3 linked regions of the Xenopus tropicalis genome follow. The main gene of each other region encodes a partner of the protein of the gene in region 3 in a complex. Links are inferred from orthologs where the notes say so. Each region holds a gene or a part of one and is shown on either strand. Other genes may lie near its edges.

What was found.
Region 1: ddx46 (region 3) and sf3b4 share a complex: the UniProt entries of both Homo sapiens proteins name them as parts of the 17S U2 SnRNP complex. The link is inferred for Xenopus tropicalis from reciprocal best matches to the Homo sapiens genes DDX46 and SF3B4.
Region 2: ddx46 (region 3) and sf3a2 share a complex: the UniProt entries of both Homo sapiens proteins name them as parts of the 17S U2 SnRNP complex. The link is inferred for Xenopus tropicalis from reciprocal best matches to the Homo sapiens genes DDX46 and SF3A2.

The regions. Positions count from the first base shown.
Region 1 is NC_030684.2:128,887,536-128,891,944, reverse strand, and holds the start of sf3b4 (splicing factor 3B subunit 4), read left to right. Parts: upstream 1-1,517; 5' UTR 1,518-1,553; coding exon 1,554-1,587; intron 1,588-3,871; coding exon 3,872-4,000; intron 4,001-4,409. UniProt on the Homo sapiens protein: Component of the 17S U2 SnRNP complex of the spliceosome, a large ribonucleoprotein complex that removes introns from transcribed pre-mRNAs.
Region 2 is NC_030677.2:102,623,083-102,627,426, forward strand, and holds the end of sf3a2 (splicing factor 3A subunit 2), read right to left. Parts: intron 4,335-4,344; coding exon 4,288-4,334; intron 3,763-4,287; coding exon 3,653-3,762; intron 3,185-3,652; coding exon 3,135-3,184; intron 2,761-3,134; coding exon 2,620-2,760; intron 2,356-2,619; coding exon 2,287-2,355; intron 1,326-2,286; coding exon 702-1,325; 3' UTR 607-701; downstream 1-606. Other genes in the region: amh (muellerian-inhibiting factor), read right to left, coding at 1-55. UniProt on the Homo sapiens protein: Component of the 17S U2 SnRNP complex of the spliceosome, a large ribonucleoprotein complex that removes introns from transcribed pre-mRNAs.
Region 3 is NC_030679.2:26,202,375-26,206,023, forward strand, and holds part of ddx46 (probable ATP-dependent RNA helicase DDX46), read right to left. Parts: coding exon 3,553-3,649; intron 1,896-3,552; coding exon 1,793-1,895; intron 1,533-1,792; coding exon 1,367-1,532; intron 1-1,366. UniProt on the Homo sapiens protein: Component of the 17S U2 SnRNP complex of the spliceosome, a large ribonucleoprotein complex that removes introns from transcribed pre-mRNAs.

The sequences.
Region 1 (4,409 bases), on a different chromosome or scaffold from region 3:
AATGTGAGGAGTTAAACTATGTTGCAGTGCCATCTTGCAAGTCATGCATAATGGCGTGGCAAGATCAAGACATTTGCCAATCCTGATTGGTGGGTAGGGGGCAGCAAATCAGTACTGTCCCACAAAAATCAGTAGTTATAACCCATATACTGGGCAAAATCAAACTGATCAGATGGTTATGATCCAACAACTGTATCACAACCTAGGACTATGGGACAATGTTGTCAAAGCTGCCAGCTTATACTGGGGAGGCCAACCAAACTGTCATCTTACATTGTCCTGTGTACAATCAGGATAAAAGAGAATAAAAGCCTGGTTAGTACCTTTGTCCCTTCCTAAACCCCACCAACAGGGACCCCCAAACCTGCTTAGTTGTTGTATCTGGTTAGAAGAAGAAAAGTGCAGGTTTGGCAGCTGCCATCTTGGGCTGCTCTGGCTCCCCTCACTACTGCTCCACCAGTCTGCTTTTTATATCCAGGGGCAACAAACAAGGAGTTTTTGGTACCAAGGCATTCACCAGGCTTTCAGTTACCTTTAACATTAAAGGTTTAAAAATATACATCAGACACAATAGTCAAATCTACTATTTGGCCAATAAGACTTTCTTGTCTCACTAAATTCTCAACCAACAGACATCTCTATGTAAAAGGGGAGGAGCATTGGTCTTTACATGTGACCCTTGTATGTTCCTTTAGGGTGAAGACACACAGAGCTACTAGTAGCAGCTACTTTTTCACAGCTACTAAACGCCAAAAAATCCCCTGCCATAGACAATACTGAGAATTCCCTCTGCTAAGGGCTCTGGCACACGGGGAGATTAGTCGCCCGCGACAAAACTCCCTGTTCGCGGGCGACTAATCTCCCTGAGTTGCCTTCCCCTGCCATCCCATCGGCGACAATGTAAGTCGCCGGTGGGATGGCACACGCGGCGGCGCGATTTCCCGAAATCGCCGAAAAAGATTTGGGAAATCGCGCCGCCGCGTGTGCCATCCCGCCGGCGACTTACATGTTTGCCAGTGGGATGGCGGGTCATGACAACTCGGGGAGATTAGTCGCCCGCGAACAGGGAGTTTTGTCGCGGGCGACTAATCTCCCCGTGTGCCAGAGCCCTAAAACACATTGAGACTGTTATCAGTAAATGATCAGCATTGTCTATTTAAGTAGCGACTACAAGTAGTTGCTACTAGTAGCTCCGTGTGTCTGCACCCTTAGCTCACACCAGGGACCCTTTAATAATCCTTGGTGCCCATAGAAACAATGAAACACCCTCTATGCGCTGACAATACTGGCACATTTACTGTAAAATCTTAAAAAAATATAAAAATAAATAAATAACCCCCTCAGAGTTTACTACACGTTTACTTTTAGCTTTGGGGTTTCATTACAATACAAATATCTCCGCCGGAAAGCATTGACTGCATAAGGCATGTTAATAAAGTTATTCCATCTAAAAAAAAAAAAAAAAAGTGGTTGCGGAAGTAAGCGTTCTGAGGCCGGAAGTAGGGAAGCGGAAACTGAAGCAGCGAGGTGGCTGAGTGGTTGGCGGCGAGAAAATGGCGGCTGGGCCGATATCTGAACGGAACCAGGGTAAGGAACGTACAGACTGCGTATGGGCTGCATGGGGTGATTGGGGCGGAGGGAACTGTTATGCCGGGGGGGCTGGAAGTAGGGGTATCCGGGGTTTACAGGGAACAGTAAGAGCTCAGAGCAGGGGGAGGCGGGCTGCACTGTGTGCATGAGGTGCAGGCTCCATCTCTGTGCAAAAGTCATTTGGACACAAAGCTGTTCTTATAATATCGGCAGCCCGGCCTGTAACTGTACCTGAATCTACACAGAAACATTGATCTGCTTCTTCCCCACCAATACAGTTTATAGTGCTATCCCCATAAACACTGTGTATAATGCACAGAACTAATGCTAAGCAGCCTCCCTATATACATTCATTACACATTTCCAACGTTTATAAAGTTTCTTGCAAAATATAATTGTTAGCGAAAGCCGTCTGTCTTATTATAGTCTACACTGCTGGTTCTGACTTCTGAAACAATGTAACAAAGGCCAGGGCTATTAAACTATGAAATGGTTTCAAGAATAAGAAAGGGGCAGATAGATACTACTTCCAATAGCAATAGCATTTACCTTTGAACCACTGATTTTTTTTATTACCGTATATACTCGAGTATAAGCCGATCCGAATATAAGCCGAGGTACCTAATTTTACCTAAGAAAACTGGAAAAACTTATTGACTTGAGTATAAGCCGACCAGTTACATGGGAGTAGGAGAAACAATAGGTTACCTCAAAGCTGTTCTATCTCATGGTGGCGATTTGGGACATCAGTGCCCGACAAGACAAGGATGAGACACCCACAGAATGGCCACCCAGCACCCTGCTATATTTCAATGAGACCCAAAGCAACTCCCGGTGTGCAAGTGAAGCAGCGGTACCTTGCGGTGTGCCCTGTCAGCAGCGCCAGAGGATCCGTAAGCCCAGCATTTACGCTGCTCTTTAAATAAGCGGCGGCGCTCCTCTTAATTCCAACCTGTGTGTCTGCAAGGAGCCGTCATGTAATCGCCTCGCCAGCTGCCGTGTGACAAGGGTTAAAGAAACAGAGCGCTCTCGGCACAATTATTGCAATAAGCAGCACACCCGACAGCAACAAGACACCACGGTCCGGGAGTTTGGCGCTGTTTGGCCGGTCCTTAGAGTTGCGGGACAACCTCAATAAAGTCCGCGAACGGGTCCTTCGCTATCTGGCGGTAGTCCGAGCGCTATCTTCCGCTACGTCACAGGTGTGCAGGCAGGTTCGCATGCAACGAGCAGCTGCGAAACCATTTACCGTATATATACGCGAGTATATGCGCGAGTATAAGCCGAGGGTTCCTTTTTCAGCACATTTTTAGTGCTGAAAAACTCGGCTTATACTCGAGTATATACGGTATATATATATGTTGGAAAGTTGATGAAAACTTTCTCTCGTTATCTTTCGGGTTTATAGGTGGATATCTCCAGGGTTGTAAAGGGAAAGCTAAACCCTGTAGCAAGGAGAGTTTGTATTACAAGGATTAAAGGAACAGTAACACCAAAAAATGAAAGTGTATAAGGGCTCTGGAACACGAGGAGATTTGTCGCCGGCGATTTTTAAAAGAGCGATTTGGCGACAAGACACCAATGCTAAATCAATGGAAATTGCCAGCGTCAAAACATACGAGGCTACTTCAGATCGCCTGCTGTTTCAAGTCGCACACAGACCCTTTTCTGAGCGACTTGAGGGGGGTTAACTGTTGAGTGTACCATGGGTAGCAGATCGCCTGGAGCTCAACTCGCATGAAATCTCTTTGAGGGTATTCTCGTGGCGACTTGTCGCCAAAGCGCCAGGGGGAAAAAACGCAGACGACAAATCTCCTCGTGTGCCAGAGCCCTAAAAGTAACTAAAATATAATGTGCTGCTGCCCTGCACTGGTAAAAGCTGTGTGTTTGCTTCAGAAAGTCTACTATAATTTATATAAATAAGCTGCTATGTAGCCATGGGGGCAGCCATTCAAAGGAGAAAAGGCACAGGCACATAGCAGATAACAGATAAAACACTATTGTATTCTACAGAACTTATCTGTTATCTGCTATGTAACCTGTGCCTTTTCTCCTCTTTTCCAGCTTGAATGGCTGCCCCTGTGGCTACACAGCAGCTTATCATATAAATTATAGTAGTGTTACTGTAGCAAACACACCAGTTTTACCAGTTCAGGGCAACAGTGCCTCGGATCTATGATCTGTGCATTTATTCAGAGTGTAACGGGGATATTTAAAGAGAAGGTGGAATAGCTGATTTGCCGTGTACTATAACTTTTTTTTTTTTTCTTTTTGGATTTAGATGCCACAGTGTATGTCGGAGGCCTGGATGAAAAGGTGTCTGAGCCTCTTCTATGGGAGCTCTTCTTGCAAGCAGGGCCTGTAGTGAATACACACATGCCCAAAGACAGGGTCACGGGGCAGCATCAAGGTAAGATTGGCACCTCTTAACCATTATTTCTTATAGCTGTGTATAGGCAGGAATGGAGGGGAATGCTGTGGAGAAGTTGTTGCAATTTGTAACAAGAATGTTTTAGTCCCTCCTCCCCTGCCAGGATTTCAAATGATGCAGAAAGAGAAGAACTGTTTTGCAGCTGGATTTCAGCATATAAAAATGGTATTTATTCATGCTTTTTGAAGGAACAGATTACAGGGTATTTTGGGGGTTTCTGTGTGCGGGAAGCAATAGTTTCCACATCGTTTGATCATGGTTAAAGCAACATATCTACTTGGTCACTGTCTCTTCCCATTTGCCTGAATGGGGAAACACCACAGGTGTCCTGGTGAAAATGTGTGCTGGATCCAAAAGCATCAGGGTGAAGACACACAGAGCTACTAAG
Region 2 (4,344 bases), on a different chromosome or scaffold from region 3:
TTACAATTCCCATTACAGTGTAGTTGAAAAACAATATTGGTAGCATCTCAGTCATGAAAGGTAATGCAGCATCAATCCTCTTGCTTCACACACGTATTTGTGCAGAAAGGCATGTTACAAATACCTCCTTGCATTCAGAAAATATTAGTGATGCCTTTACTGCCAAGCTTTGTTCGAGATGCTGGGAGGTTCCCGCATTTTGGCCAAGCTAAGACCTTGAGTTCACTGTGGGATGCGCATTCCCAAACTGTGCTGTCCCATGTTTTTAATTTTTTTTACTTTGCAAAATGAATGGGATCCCTCACAGCTTATTTTTAGAAAGCCACCCCTGTGAAACTCTCCCATACCTTGTCCTTGACAACTCACAAAACCTCTATTGTGGAAACTCTGTCAGGGATATTGCTGGAATAACCAATGCACCACTCTGTAGTACATATTAAATCAGGAATTCCCAGTAGGATATTGCAGGCCTCAATCCATTTGCACAGAATGCAAAACAATGCAAATATGTTTTGTTTCAATTGACCATGCAAATCTTTGTTATTATAGCTTTGCTTCCTGTAACTAACTCTACTACATACACACAAAATGAGAAACCACATTATATTATTTCAAAGGTGGGATTTTTTTTTAATGATTTAAAACATACCACAAATAAAAAAAACTGGGAAAAATATGCTTATCTTTGAAAAAGAAATACATCAGTTGGTGGGAGGGGGTGGAGGAATATTTGTTGGTCCATCGCTAGGTAAAGGTGGCCTCATCATTGGAGGCATAGGGCCAGGTGGGAGAACACCAGGTGCTGGAGGTGGTACACCTGGCGCTGGTGGAGGAGGTACCCCTGGGGCAGGAGGAGGTGGAACCCCTGGCGTTGGAGGGAGTGGCACACCAGGTGCAGGGGGCGGAGGCACTCCTGGGGCAGGTGGTGGGGGTACACCAGGAGGAGGAATGCCTGGAGGAGGAATGCCTGGAGGTGGAACACCAGGTGGAGGCACAGCAGGATTAGGAGGTGGTGGTACACCAGGTGGTGGTACGCCAGGAGGAGGAAGAGAAGGTGGGGGCACAGGAGGGTGCACCCCAGGAGGAGGAACAACTGGGGCAGGTGGAAGCTGTGGTGGCGGTACAGGAGGTGCAGGTGTCCCAGGTGGCATTGGGGGCATAGGCAGTCCTCCTGGAGGAGGAGGCGGCATATTCTCAGGCATTGGAGGACGTGCTTGTATCCCATTGATGGCTGGAGGAACAGGTCTTTTAACACCAGGTGGTGCTGGAGGCAAAGTGGGTGCTTGTGGAGGCTTCTCCATCTTAAAGTGGAACTGTAGGAAAAACTGAAAGAGAGGGCAAAGGAAAAAGTGTTGAAAAGGTCACATACTGTAGCTCCAAGCCTTTACAAGGTAATCCAGAAGTATTCAGAAATGTGTAGAAAAACTAGAGTGTTACCAAACGGTTTCCGGCAACATTTTTTCGTGTGGATATAACCTTAGCCTTACACTATGATGATCTGATATTTGGCACTATGACTGAGGATTTTTTACAGTGGGGATATTTGTTATTTAAAAATGGAGTGGTGATGTAATCCATTTCAATAAGGGGTACATCACATTCAAATAGTTATTTAGTGTTTTACTTTATACAGTTTATATCTGGGAAGTCCTATATTTGGCTTTTTTTTTTTTTACATTTAGGCTTAAATACATTATGCTGCAATTTTCTCCATTTAGTGCCTATGCCTGTGGTAACTGGTTATACCCGGTGGCTGTATGTAATAATAAACAAAGAATATACTGCCTTTGTTGCAGTTACTACTAACCTACTACAATGTTGTTTAATGGTGATTGTGTATTTGTCTGATATTTATGCATTATTACCTTAAAGACAGGACTGGGGGGTTATTTATTGTTCCTTTATGGCTTTTTACTATACATTTATTTAAATAATATAAAAAAAGAATATTTATACACACAATGTTAAACCTCAGCCTGTTTGGCATTTAAAGAAAAAAGGGTAGGCAAAACTATTAAATTAACTATCCCTATGGCATACTGCAGGACTGTAGGTGTTTTGCCACCCACCCCTGTATAATTTGCAGCTTGGTGGGCAGCTTGTAACTGCCCTTCCATAGACTTTTATAGTGATCACCTGGGCACTGCGTACACAATCACACGTCAGGCAATTATCTTGTCTTGGAGGAAATATGCAAAATGTGCACAAAATGAACACATGTAATTAAGACTACTAGGGTACATACGTGAGGGATCCCCCTTTTGCACAAGATGTATTTTATATTACCTGTTTTGTCTCTCTGTTCCAATGTGTCCAAAACTTTCCCTCCACTTTGTCTATTTCTCGACTTGGGACCTGTTGGATAAAAGAAAAAGTGCTGTAGAAATTCCACAATTGGATACATGGATAAAATAATTCTTGTCAATTTTCAGTAGGTTAGTGCAGGCTGTACTAAAAATATGTCATTTTGCAGAAATGGTGGGTGTTTGGTACGCCTACTGAATCGTATTTGAAGAATATATAATTGTGTTATAAGGTGAGAAGGGTTTTGTATGTGCGAGTTTTTCAAAGTTATGGTTTCAAATGCTAGAGAAAGGCTTGCTCTATAGCTTATCCTACCTTAAAAGCAATAGTTTCATAGGGCTCTGCAGCCATCAGCAGGTACTGCCATCGTCTGTCTGGGGGCTCAATCCTCTGTTCGTATGCAGACATAAAGCGGTGTCGGGGCATGATACCTTCAGCTATCTCAGGATAGTCAATCTGCAGAGAAAGAAAGACAGGGCTGAAGCATCATTACAGCATGGGCACCCCTATAGCATCTGGAGCATCATTGACATATTGGTTATTGTTTTAGGGGTAACATTTATGACAATACTTGTTGTCATCAGTAATATAGAATTTTTTGTAATACAGGTATGGAACCTCTTATCCAGATTGCTTGCGACCCAGGGTTTTCTTTAAATCAACCAAATACAATTGTTTTGTCTCCAATAAGTAACAATTATATTAGTTGGCATCAAGTACAAGGTACTGTTTTATTATTACAGAAAAAGGGACTTTGTTTTTAAAAATCTAAATTATTTGTTTAAAATAGAGTCTAAGAGAGATGGCATATCAGTAAATCACATTATTACCTGAAACAACAAAGACTGCTGGGCCATTTCTGGATCTCTCTGCTTAGTCACTAGAAAATAAATAAATGTATGGCTTTATTATCAGTCAGTGAAATAATATCATTTACTCTTTCACATTCAAGATACAGGGCAGAAACAGCTGCAATGCTGAGTGGCCAAATCAATATCAGTGCAAAAAACATCACTAATGCTGGAAACATTTGCTAACAGGACTTCTAAATGTTTAAAACATTCTAACAGCAGCAACAAAAGGTAGATGAAAGTGTGACTGCATAATTCTGACATCCATCTGAAAGCACCTAGTGATATACCTGCACTGATGGGTGCAGAGGACTGTTGCAAGCAGATGATTAAGCCAAATGTTAGCATAACCAGTCTTCAAACAAAAAGATAGGCTATTAAATGTAAGGGTAATCCACATGTGACTGAGGATACCAAAAAAGATTATTATGTTGGAATCAGGGTTATAAACCACTGCATTCATATAAAAGACATATTGACACAACACTTAATCTCACCCTTGTATCCAGGTCGACCAATTTTGACAAATTTCTTCACTTCTACCTTTACTTTTTCTGGGGCAGGTTGTGCTGGTGCTTCCTTTGCTTCTTTGGCCGCTCGGCGAGCTCTGATCAAAAGGAAAAAAAAAAGTAAGAATGTCTGCAACTGTTCACAAAATGATCTTTAATAAGACAGTGCCAGAGAAATCAGTACAGCAATTTGACACAACTTAAAATGTTTAAAATTAAGGAGAATTAACCATTCCTCTGCCACACCTCTCGATCTGAGAGGTTAAGAGAATGGAGAAAGCCAGAACATTAAAACCTATGGCTCTGGCAGTTACTCCCTTGACTGCAAACACCATACCTTTTATGATCTACCTGCAGCAAGCGGTTAATAACTGTAGATGTTGTGCACAAACCCTGACAAGATGCATGGAGGACTGGTTTTGGTTGGAATTAAAAATGGGTTGGGTGGTTTCCTTTCCTACAATTATCTGTCAAGTTTGGGTTTAGGAAGGAATTCCCACCACAACGTTCAACTGAAGTACAGTTTGGGGGTGGCTATGTTTACATTCTTTAGATAAATAATGGAAACTTTGACTTGACATTGCTGTGTTTTTTAATGCATAAAATCAGCACATTTAACTTACAAATTTGTCTGATGCTTTTTTCCTTGTGTATGAGCCAGATAACTCCCCTACAGAAAG
Region 3 (3,649 bases):
AGCTTTATTTATATAAACCAGTGATCCCCAACCAGTGGCTCTGGGGCAACATGTTGCTTCCCAACCCCTTGGATGTTGCTCTCAGTGCCCCCAAACCAGGGAGTTATTTTTGAATTCCTGACTTGGGGGCAAGTTTTGGTTGAATAAAAAAGGGAATTTGCTACCAAATAAAGCCCCTGTAAGCTGATTATGTGCATAGAGGCTGCCTAATAGCCAATCTTAGCCCTTATTTGGCTCCATGAACTTTTATGATGCTTGTGTTGCTCCCCAAGTCTTTTTACATTTGACTGTGGCTCCCGAGTAAGAAAGGTTGGGGACCCCTGATATAAACTATAGTAGTCTTTCTAAGGAAAACACACTAGTTGTACCAGTACAGAGCAGCATTACATTATATAGTAATTACTTTTATACACTTTCATTTTTTTGTGTTACTGTCCCTTTAAATACTTTTCTGTTGGCACAGACATATGGGGGTTAAACCTAAACAGCAAAGGTCGGACAAAATAAAAAAAATTCTGTAGCTCCTCCTTTACAATATATCTAAAGGGCTCCTCTGACAAGGCAATTTCTAGTAGCAAAGTCATAGGAGAGGAGGGAAAAGAGAAGTACAGAAGAGCACATACATGAAGCTATAAAAGAAACCAGGGAAATCAAAAGCATCTTAGCCCAAATAGGAAGTTGTTGCAGGAGTAAGGTCATCAACACTAGGTTGCTTTTAACTGCCTTTGGTCAGTACCATAATTTTTCTTTCTATCTAGTTTACTACCATATTTATCTTGTTGTGTAGATTACCTTGGAAAATCAAGATGGTTCTGTTAAGGCCCTAGTAAATATTCTGTTTTAGAAAAGAGCTCAGAAACAATCGCTTCCCTCCACATTGAAAATTAGAATGGAAAAGGATACTAAAATGTCACCCTCCAAAACTTGGAATCATAGGTAATCCAAGACTCTATTGACACCCAGTCGCCAAAGTTTAGGGTCAAATACTATTGCCAACCGTATGAAAGAGAAATTTAAATCTTTTTAAAAGGTCCTCGCTACAGGACCCTAGAACTAGTTATTTTCTATACCTACAGCTTAGACATGCTACTGTGAGTGGGTTCCCATAACCTCCCAATCCTCAGATATCTAAACATTAACACACACAGATCTCTCGGGCCACATATCTTTAATACATGCTATAATGAATAGGCAATCCCATTTTGCAAGATACCAAAGTGATATACCTCAACTGGACATTCATTACTTATTCTCTGTGAACAGCAGCAATGATATCCCCAAACATTTTATATAGTACACGATTAACAAAGCTTCACAGATTTTACTAGGTCATTTTTTTTTAGCAGATTGAAAACTTGACACTTACCATCATCATCTTCTAAGCTCCATTTTTTCCCTTGTCTCATTTCTTCAATTTCTTTTTTCAGCTCTCCAATGCTTTCCACAACTCTTTTACGTTGCTCTTCTCTCCACTTTTCCACCCTCTCTTTGCGTTTGCGCATTTCTTCTTCCAATTTATTTTGATCAAAATTCTAAATACAGAGAGAAAGGCAGAGTTAATGAAACTAGTTTCTGCTAGTCTAGAAAGAAAAAAAATATTCAAATCAAACCCACCAGAAAGGGCTTTTGGTTGAAATGTGTTTCTTACCATAAAACAGAAAATACATTTTATCACTTACTACCTCCCCAACTTTCCCTGAAAACTTAAACATGGAAATATTTCTTTCTATCCTGAACTTTTTAAGTTCAGTAAATACCAATGAATATTCTTATGTCTACTTAACATACTCACACTAACATCCTTCTCTTTTTCCTTTTCTTCCTCTTTGTCATCCTTTTCTTTTTTCTTCTCTTTGGATGCTTCTGTGCCATCTGTTTTCTCTTTAGATTTTGATCTACATTATGGAAAAATGCTGGTGTTATCAAAAGAATTCAGAATTGTAGAACAGAGCCAAAAGTTAAAGGAACAGTAACACCAAAAAATTAAAGTGTATAAAAGTAACTAAAATATAATGTGCTGCTGCCCTGCACTGGTAAAAGTTGTGTGTTTACTTCAGAAAGTCTACTATGATTTATATAAATAAGCTGCTATGTAGCCATGGAGGCAGCCATTCAAAGGAGAAAAAGGCACAGGCACTTAGCAGATAACAGATAAAACACTATTGTATTCTACAGAACTTATCTGTTATCTGCTATGTAACCTGTGCCTTTTCTTCTTTTTTCCAGCTCGAATGGCTGCCCCCGTGGCTACACAGCAGCTTATTATATAAATTATAGTAGGGTTACTGTAGCAAACACACCAGTTTTACCAGTGCAGGGCAACAGTGCATTATATTTTTATTACTTTAAAGCGCTTTAATTTTTTGGTGTTACTGTTCCTTTAAAACTTTGCCTATGAACATAACTTCATTTATCACAGATACAGCAAAAGTAGTGGTTTTGAACCATTTTCCAGGTGGGCCTCTGATTAAGCCTGGAATAGCATAATAATTATTATATCATTAGCATTATAATTGTTTTAAGGGGATACTAGACACCCACCCAAAAACTGCATCTTTGGATCCTGAACCACAAGATAAACAAATTGTAATTTTTTTTTTAAAAAAGGCATTAGAAAGAAGAGCCACTTTGCTAAAGCAGTTTTTGTTTTTTTTTATACAAAAGAAGAGCTCCTCCAGGCGATGAGGCGGGTAAGAAAAAGGTACCCCCTATTCGGACTATTACATAACCTTAAAAATAATATTTTTTTTATAATGAATTAATGTAACAATACATAAAAGGCATCAGATATTGAGTAAAGGTTGAGAAGTTAGGCTGGCAAAACAGTCAGGTTTAGAAACTTCAATTAACAATTACTTACAAAAGCAGCTATCAGTTAAAATCAATGACCTATAGGTAACTTTAAAGGAGAAGGAAAGATCAAATCACTGTAGGTGCCAAAATGTTAGGCATGTCAGAATGTATTGAATTCACTTATACTATACCCCGGGCTGGAGCTCCTATTAGCAAAAAAAAAAAAAAAAAAAAAAAAGCACTGGGCCAGGGTACATGCAGGCTACCAACCCTCTTCCGTCTTCTTTCTTTGTACTGGCTACACATGCGCAGTAGAAGAAATAAAGGAAGGAAGAGGACCACACCCCGGCTAGTGCGATTTTAGGGGCCTTTGGCAGCCCCCAGTGATTTTAACTTTCATTCAGTTGAAAGTATAAATACACCTTGCCTCTCAAGCTATTCTGAATTGTCATTGCTGATATGTAAGTTGAGTCATTTTCAAGGTATGCTGTTTATGTTTTTACAAAGGTTCCATCAGTTTGTGCTACCTGGCCAGCCCTCCCCTGGGGGAAAAATTTGTCTGAGCCCCAGACAACAGTCCCCCCCTAATAGTTGTCCTGATGATGCAGCAATTTAGGGGGAGAAAATAGCTAGAAGGTTTGAGGAGATTTTAAAACTAGGCATGGGTGGGGGGTAGCAGTATGGATCCTGTGGACAATAATGGATCTGGCCATAATAATTGGGTATGGAGTCAGTTTGCATTTAAAAGGATAAACAAACCTTATTTCTTTCTTGTTTTTGCTTGGGCTGGCTGAACGGGACCTTCTGGTGCGGCTCTTACTCCTGGATCTCCTACGTTCTCTGCTGCGAGACCTTC